2 linked regions of the Drosophila melanogaster genome follow. The protein of the gene in region 1 purifies or fractionates together with the protein of each later gene. This does not show direct contact. Each region holds a gene or a part of one and is shown on either strand. Other genes may lie near its edges.

Region 1 (5,246 bases):
TTACGGTCTCCTGCAACTGCCACGCATGCCGGAGCTAAAGAACTACCAGGGCGGCGGCTATGTGGCGCCTGCTTTTGAAGTGGATTTATCCAAACTTACCTACAAAAACGCCCAGAAAGAACAAGTCCGGCAAAAGAAAATGGAAACTTACGAGCAAACGGGAAGCTGGCCGGGCCAAAAGCAGCACAAAAAGCGTGTTGAGTCCTGGGATCAGACAAAGAAGGCAAAACTGGATGCCAAGTCTAAGAAGGAGCTGCGCAAGGCGAAGAAGCAGCGAAAGAAAGCGGCAGAGGCGGAGGCGAGCAGGTCCGGGAAGGGAAAAAAGAGGCAGCAGTTCAGCCAGGAGGACCTCGATGAACTGGCCAGCGATATTCGGCTCTTCAAGCGGCTGAAAAAGAACAAGATTAGCGAGGAAGATTTCGACAAAGCCATGGGCATCGAAGGGAACAACGATTGACATACTCTGGGGCTGATTTGTATGCACAATAAAAAATATTTACGGAAGTATAAATTTCAATTCAAATACCTATTTTAGTATAAATACATACATAAGTATATCAAACTTTATTAGACCGAAAATGGGGGTAACAAAACATGAATACTATAACTAAATGAGATGAAGTAAATGGCTGAAACTTAAGCTGTGTTGCCGTCGACCACAATTTGAAGGATGATGCGTCGCTTGGGATCGTAAGAGAAGCCATTTGTGCGAAACAGATCTGATTCGTAGAACGGCTTCAGGTTTACAATATCCAGCTGCTTAGCCCGTTCGATCAAATCCCGCTCCATAATCTCCACATGTGTGGCGCCAGGCCCGTCCTTGCAGCGAATGTAGGCGAGCTGGTCGAGCGTCAGCTGTCGCAGAATAAAGAACAGCAGCTCGGAATGGTCCTTTTGGAAGGACAGGTACTTCTGGAATGTGCTGCGCATCTTCTTCATAACGCTGAACTTCTGCGCCTCGATAAAGCTCTCCAACATCATGCGGATGGCCATGCTGACATCTGCCTCCATTACGTTTTCGCGCAGATGCATCCGCGCGTGCGCTTCGGACATTCGGATGACACTCTCAATGTGACGCACCGTAATGGGCAGTGAGCCCGTGGCAAAAGACTCCTGTCGCAGCTGGGCGTACATCTTGGCGATCTTGTCCTCGTCGATGTTCTGTATGAAACGGAAATGTTGTTACACTTTTCCTGTGATTTCAATAAGTTCGCTTACCGTTAGCTTGGGCCGAATGTTCTCCTTAGCGTATACAATGTATTGTCGCAACAAGTCCTGCGGGATCTCATCAACGGTCTTCAGCTGTGGTTCCTCCAACTCCGGCTGCTCCTCCTCACTCGGGTGATGCTTCATATGCGAGTGTACCACGAATTTGGCGAGCTGCTGATCCTGCATGGGGTCAAATTCGTCCTTCACCACGCACAGCACATCGAAACGGGACAGGATGGGCTCCGAGAGATTCACGTTCTCCGAGAAGGTCATCGACGGATCATAGCGACCGCCAATGGGATTGGCAGCAGCAATCACGGTGCAACGAGCTTGAAGAGAGGTGACAATACCAGCCTTGGAAATCGAAATAGACTGCTGCTCCATGGCTTCGTGAATAGAGGTACGATCCTGGTCGTTCATTTTGTCGAACTCGTCGATTAGACAAACTCCCTGATCAGCCAGAACCAGAGCACCCGCTTCCAATGTCCACTCCCGAGATACTGGATTGCGGCGCACATAAGCCGTGAGACCCACGGCACTGGCTCCCTGCCCAGTCGTGAAAACCGCACGTGGCGCAACCTTTTCGGTGTACTTGAGGAACTGCGACTTTGCCGTTCCGGGATCTCCACAGATGAGTAGGTTTATATCACCTCTAACCTTGTGTTTCTCACCGGGATTCTTTGACTCACCCCCAAAGAGAGCTAAGGCCAGCGCCCTCTTGATATAATCATGTCCGTATATAGAAGGCGCCATGGATGCTACTACACGCTCTACGATACGCGGATCCTTGCTCAACTTCTGAATGGTGGCAATGTCCTCGTCCGTAAGCGACTGCACTACCTGCTTGGAGTCCTTTACAACCACATGATTGGCAATAATCACGGTGGCAAACACGGGAAATCCTTGGTCGGTGTTCAAGGAGCCATCGTAGTTATTGGTATATATACCTGTGACCTCAAGTTCATCTCCAGGCTTGCATTGATCACACAAATCAGCGAGCAAAATGACATCCTTGCTGCGAGGAATGCGTCCGGCTGGAATCCTGCCTGGCGACTCCTGCAACGTGATCTTTTGATAATTTCGATACAACGTCTGCTCCATGTTGATTGAGAAGGGTCCAGTGCTCTGGCACTCTGGGCAGGAACCGGGCTTTATCTCCGTATTTTGCGACTGAACGAAGGGACCCAGCACATAGCCGCACTTAACGCAGTCGTACTTGATCACGGATAGCTGGGGAAGAACTCCGGTGGTGGCAGTTACCACGCCCAAAGTGCGAACCAACTGGTTCAGATGCAGTTTTCTGAATGTGCGCAGCTCCTCGATCAGCGGCAGCTCCGAGATGCGCACGTGAATCTCTGTGGTGACACGTTCGTAAGTGGGGAAAATGGAGAGCACCATGTCCTTAGCCACTTTATCGAAAATCTCGAGCATTTGAAAGGGAGCCTCGGGCAGGAAATAGGCCAATACGTGTTCCTTGTTGGCCAGATCAGTGTAGGAGACGACGAACGAAGACATGTTCTGCTCGCACATCCGACGTATGCGATCACGATAGGTGTATGCGCCCCTTTCATCCACAAAAGTTCTCAAAAAGGATTGAAAGCGATTGGCGATTTCCGTGCGTGGTCCTAGCATACTGACCCACTCTTTAGTTGAGTGTCCCTTGGTATCCTCCAGGTTTTCAATAGACTCCACCATCTCGGTGTCCTCTACCTCGCCAACAGCTGCCTTCTCGCCAGCTCGTCTCTTGGCCCGGGGTCCAACGTCGTCCTCATCATCGGACTGACCGAAACCCAGATCACGATCGTCGCGGTGGATTCCGGCGGCCCGGTCGCGTCGACGCATCTCCGACTCGGCGGCAAAGCGATCGCCCTGGGACATCTCCGAGAAGTCATCCTCGTCGTCCAGCAGCGCCGGATCGTAGTGATCCAGCTCAGGCATGGGCCGGTAATCGTTCTCCATGTTGTCCCCGAACAGCTCCTCGCCATCCTCCTCCTCGGCCTCATCGCGAACGGTCTGATCTCCCAGGATCTCGTCCTCGTTCTCGAACGGCTCAAAGTCGCCAACCGGCGACGTCATTGCTGCCCGCAGATCGCGGCGTTCGGCGGCATCGCTGGGCGTATTTGGCGGTGGTGAACTGGGATTGTCCATTACGTGCGTCTGTTGTGCTTAGCGTTTATCTGTAATATGTTTTGTTTTGTACCGCCGATCTTGTTGTGACGACGCGTGCGAAAATGCGCGGGAAAATGTTTGCTAATCGAGCCAACTCAGGGCTGCGGTCTAGTTCCGATAAGCAGTGCTGTTAACGTCTGGGTCATACAGTGGACACCCGCTTCTGCATACATGTTTATAAGAACACCCGACTGTAACAACTTTCCTTGTGTCAATAAAATATCACCGAGTTTAAAGAGCTTACAAAAAATTTTAAATATATATATTACACCATTCAATTTAAAAAGTTTACAAGGCACTGAATGTAGGCTTTAATACAAAGAATGTGTCAATAAAATATCACACAGTTATTAAATATTTATAATTCCATTGAAATAGAAATGCTTACAATAACTAGTTGTGAGCATTAACACAAACAATGTAAGTCAAGCTTAAAGCTATGTGTCAAAATAATAGACAATTATTCTCAATATGTTGCTGTAGGAAATAGTAATAATAAAGTAAAATAAATGTTTTCTCTTAAGCAACCAAAACTTTACTGCCCTGAAATACAGCTCTAACTGGAAAGCAAATTGAACTAGTTCCGCAACAACTGATTCAAAATTACACAGAAGCCCTTCCCGCCTCTTCTAGCTTCACTTTGTACCCAGCCCTCGACGCATGAATTATATTTGCTTGTGAAATTGCCCAACTTATTTTTATAATCAAAATGGTCCTGGCATCTTTGTCCACTGGTGTGATTGCTGTAAGTATGCCAGCTTAAAATAATGGATTGGTATAGTAACACATCGTACTACCGGCCACAGCGCATTATGCATGGCGAGGTTGTGGATGCCCCGGTTCTCCAGATCCTGGCAATCAAGAAGATTAACAGCGCAGCGGACTCAGAGCGCTATCGCATCCTAATCTCCGACGGCAAGTACTTTAACAGCTATGCGATGCTGGCCAGTCAGCTGAACGTGATGCAGCACAATGGAGAATTAGAGGAGTTCACCATTGTCCAGCTAGATAAATATGTGACCTCACTGGTAGGCAAGGACGGAGCCGGAAAGTAAGTACGCTGTAAAACAGACTTTCGACAGTATAGTAACATATGTTTTCCTTTTAGACGCGTTCTCATCATTTCCGAACTAACTGTGGTGAATCCTGGCGCCGAGGTTAAGTCCAAAATTGGCGAACCCGTTACGTATGAAAATGCAGCCAAGCAGGATCTGGCGCCTAAGCCAGCAGTAACATCTAATTCCAAGCCAATTGCCAAAAAGGAACCGAGCCACAACAACAATAATAACATAGTAATGAATTCCTCTATTAATAGTGGAATGACACATCCCATTTCTAGCCTAAGTCCCTACCAAAATAAGTGGGTGATTAAGGCTCGCGTGACCTCAAAATCCGGCATTCGCACCTGGAGCAATGCCCGCGGCGAGGGCAAGTTGTTCAGCATGGATTTAATGGACGAATCGGGCGAAATTCGGGCCACTGCCTTCAAGGAACAGTGCGATAAGTTCTACGACCTCATTCAAGTGGATAGCGTGTACTATATATCAAAGTGTCAATTGAAACCGGCAAACAAGCAGTACTCTTCGCTGAACAACGCCTACGAGATGACTTTTTCCGGTGAAACAGTTGTCCAGCTTTGTGAGGATACCGACGATGATCCCATACCGGAAATTAAGTACAACCTTGTTCCTATTTCCGATGTGTCGGGTATGGAAAATAAAGCAGCGGTAGACACAATAGGAATTTGCAAGGAGGTGGGCGAGTTGCAATCATTCGTAGCTCGCACCACAAACAAGGAATTCAAGAAACGGGACATAACCCTAGTGGACATGAGTAACTCGGCCATCAGCTTGACCCTTTGGGGGGAT
Region 2 (3,369 bases), about 18 Mb from region 1:
GACCGCCCAAAACAAAGACAATCTTTGGCTTCTCTACGCTCATGATTCCGATATTGTGTGGTGGGGCTGTGGAGGTGGTGGTGATGAACCTATTGCTGGCCTTGGAATGTCGCAATTGGTGCTGCGTCAGCGCTGATGGTGCGAGACCGACTCCTGGTGAACCGCAATCGTTGGCTACTGCTCTCAACGTCGTTCGTGCCAAAGCCCGCCACATTGACGACTGAACCAAACTGAAGGCAAATTGAATGCGTGGTTTATGTGTATGCCGCCTGCAGTACACCTCACCACTGTTTTCCACTGGAAACGTAACACCCTGTGACGTCACGCACAAGCGCAGCTGTTCGCGGGCGTCCGTTCGGCAACACTGGCGCCGGCTTTAGCGGGAAGCGAACCAATTTGAATGGCATTTTATGCAGTTTACTTCCGGTTCGATATTAAATAAATTAAATTTAATTTAAATATTCTTCTACAACATTTTTAAATGTACCCTTAAACATGCAGCTTTGCAGAGTTTGATTTTTAATTTTTTTTATTATCATGTATATTACCTGCTAAATAAGTCTTTTAAATTAGCTGCGCTTGGTTGTTTTGTATCAAGTCGGCCACTAGTTGGTAGGGAATAATATGCTGGGAGCCGGCCGCCATGTCCACCTCCTCATCATCGACGCCCACGATCACAGCGGGCACTGGAAAGCAAAACAAGAGTTAAGCGGTTATCTTAATTAGATGACAAAAGGTTATTACCTGCCACATTTGCCTTAAGAAAGACATGGCTCATCAGATTGGGCGTCACAATCCTCTGCTCCGCCTCTCCTCTCTGCTGGTTGGGCATGTACTGGGTGGCTACTTTGTGGAAGTACTCATCCACATTACTGGCAAACTCCTGGGCGAACTTAGTCTCCTCGGGAGACAGACGTTTGTCATCCGGCTCACGGCTCTCCTCCTGGTTGAGGATGTGCTGCGTGAAGGTTTCGATCTTCTGCAGGCGGCAACGCAGATAACTGGCCATTATGTAGCGCACCCTCTCCAGTTCCATGGAGTGCACCACCGCTCGGAAATCGTTCTTGTCCAGATCGCGCATCTGCTCCTCCATGTGGGCCACCTGGGAGACCATCAGCTCCAGCATGTCCGTCTGGCTGGGCAGGATCTCCGGCGCACACATTTCATTTATCCACGCGGTTTCTATGATTTCCAGAACCTAGGGATATCAGAATGTGATTACTTGCGTATTAAAAAGCTGTGTTACGATTTACCTTACCTTCTGAGCTGTAATCTGTTCCATATCGTCATCATCCTCATCCTCCAGTCCGGCGCCATCGCTGACATCGATTTCTAACTGGGTTTCGGGCACGTCTTCTACATCCGACATGGTTTTATTTATTTGTTTATTATTTTGCAGATTTTGGCGCAAATTTTGGGAATCGTTGGGAATGTCACTCCAGTAATACAGTTGACGTTTTTCATCACTGTTTCATTTGTTTTTACTCCGTGTGAATGGCACGTCTAACCGTTATCGATATCACAAAAGCATGCGATGGCAGCCGCACAACAAACTGAATTCCAAAAGAATTTTAGAGTGATTGTAGAGAAGATCTTCAATCACTGGCAGGATCTCCGGCTGGCGGTGGAGCATGGCATGGGCGGACGCAATGGCCAACAGGTTGTTGCTCGTATACCCTGAAACCGTCTTCTTTTCTAACCTAATCGGAGTGTCCGTTTTGTAGGTGGCCATAGAAATCATGGACTACACCTACCAGTACTGCGTGTCCAACGAAAATATCACGCAAGGCGAACTGGTGGAGGTCCTGGAGGAGCTGATGGACCAGGAGTTTAACACCCTCTGCGACGACGACTCCATTCCGGAGATCTGCCGGAATCTGCTGCGCTACAAATTGATGGCCCAGCAGAACCAGTTTCCGCAAATAGAGGCTGAATTGAGTAAACTTCCTGCTGGCAAGGAGTGGCTGCGTCCGGATGTTAAGATCACCTACACACCCATCGATGGGGACTCCTCATCCGATGAGGACATGGACGACAGCGACGAGGAGGACGATAATGAAATGGGCCAGGGCGACGAGGAAACTCCCAGCGGCAGTGGTCGGATGACGCGATCGCAGGCACGAAAGCAGCAGGCTGAGGAGTTTGTGGAACCGGAAGACGGCTGGACCACCGTGCGAAGAAAATGAATTTCGTCGGGATGATTAAAAAGAAACCTGCTAGTTTTTTAGTTATAATACGCTGTATTTACTTCCTGGAGGTCCAGAAAACGCAGTGGTGGAATAGGTGCACGTGTCACAGGTTGGTGGAAAGTCCTGCACAGGTTGCAGTTCACTGGAGAGGCCTTCTTTGATGCGGAATCCTGGCTGACCTTGCCTTTTTGCAACTGCGACCAGGAGGTGAACTCTGTCCCCTTGGGCAGTGCCAGCTTTGGATCCACCACCGAGGCAATGGAATCAACATCCACTGTCATCGATAGATTTATGGCAGGATAGATGAGGAAGGCAAAGAACCAGGCGAAGACCAGCACCAGAAAAGGCACAAATACGGCAAAATACTTGTCCGGCAGATACGAGTGCAGACCAAACTCCACTGGCAGCAGCGCCCAAGTCACGTATACGAGGAAGAGGACCGTGAACAGCATATAGAAGGCGAAACCATAGACCGCCCTATGGGGAGTCGGAGCTGGAGTGTGTTCCGGCATTGTCGTTGCTCTCGGGGATTAGTTTCTCTTTCTTGGAGTCTCCGAACTGGTTGATGGTGTCCTGGCACAGGAGCAGGCACTCAAAGAAGGAGGTGATGGCAGTGCGCAGGCTCTTCACTTGATCCGACTGAAAGTGCACAACCAGAACATCGTTCTCCAGGCTCAAAGTTTTTTTCACGAAATTCCGGCGCGGCTCCTGGTCGACACCGAGGACTTTGTAGGCGATCTCGGCCAATCGTGGCGTCTCAAACGGCACTCTTATTATGCTAATGAGGCGAATATTTATTACTAAATTTATGTTTATTTCTTTGTTAAATGGTTAAACTTACGATTCATTTGGTTTATTTGCAATTTGTGGCATCATAAAAGTTTTAACCAATCTGAAATGCTCACATGTCAACGGAGAAAGTTAATGACAATTTATGAAGAAGAAGCATTCACCGGCTGTTTATCTCGTGAACAGCTGATTGAAGAATTCAAATGTTTAAAAATGAGCATTCTTCATAATCACATTTATGTTTTAAATTAAGCGCTTGTTAAGTTTTTGAAGTTAATAACAATGGGAAATAAGCTGTCAATTAAAACGTTAATTTCTTCAATTTGTGGTTTCTTTATTACAAAAAAAAGGTGTTCAATATCATTGCTCCAAACAAATCCTTCTGGTAAAT

What was found. Proteins that work in one complex are often made in the same cells at the same time.
Region 2: the proteins of Mcm2 (region 1) and Sld5 purify together in Drosophila melanogaster (affinity purification with western blotting; 2 studies listed by BioGRID, with this or other methods). This does not show direct contact.

The regions. Positions count from the first base shown.
Region 1 is NT_033777.3:8,263,212-8,268,457, reverse strand, and holds Mcm2 (minichromosome maintenance 2), read right to left. Parts: upstream 3,489-5,246; 5' UTR 3,358-3,488; coding exon 1,219-3,357; intron 1,162-1,218; coding exon 637-1,161; 3' UTR 534-636; downstream 1-533. Other genes in the region: CG9630 (uncharacterized protein), read left to right, coding at 1-457; RPA1 (replication protein A1), read left to right, coding at 4,088-4,123, 4,185-4,429, 4,487-5,246. UniProt on the Drosophila melanogaster protein: Acts as a component of the MCM2-7 complex (MCM complex) which is the replicative helicase essential for 'once per cell cycle' DNA replication initiation and elongation in eukaryotic cells.
Region 2 is NT_033777.3:26,055,123-26,058,491, forward strand, and holds Sld5 (Sld5), read right to left. Parts: upstream 1,426-3,369; 5' UTR 1,370-1,425; coding exon 1,259-1,369; intron 1,199-1,258; coding exon 745-1,198; intron 687-744; coding exon 565-686; 3' UTR 535-564; downstream 1-534. Other genes in the region: Cmpk (Cytidine/uridine monophosphate kinase 1), read right to left, coding at 1-214; CG14543 (uncharacterized protein), read left to right, coding at 1,535-1,660, 1,725-2,186; PIG-P (phosphatidylinositol glycan anchor biosynthesis class P), read right to left, coding at 2,225-2,701; Tcs6 (Threonyl-carbamoyl synthesis 6), read right to left, coding at 2,667-2,967, 3,031-3,065.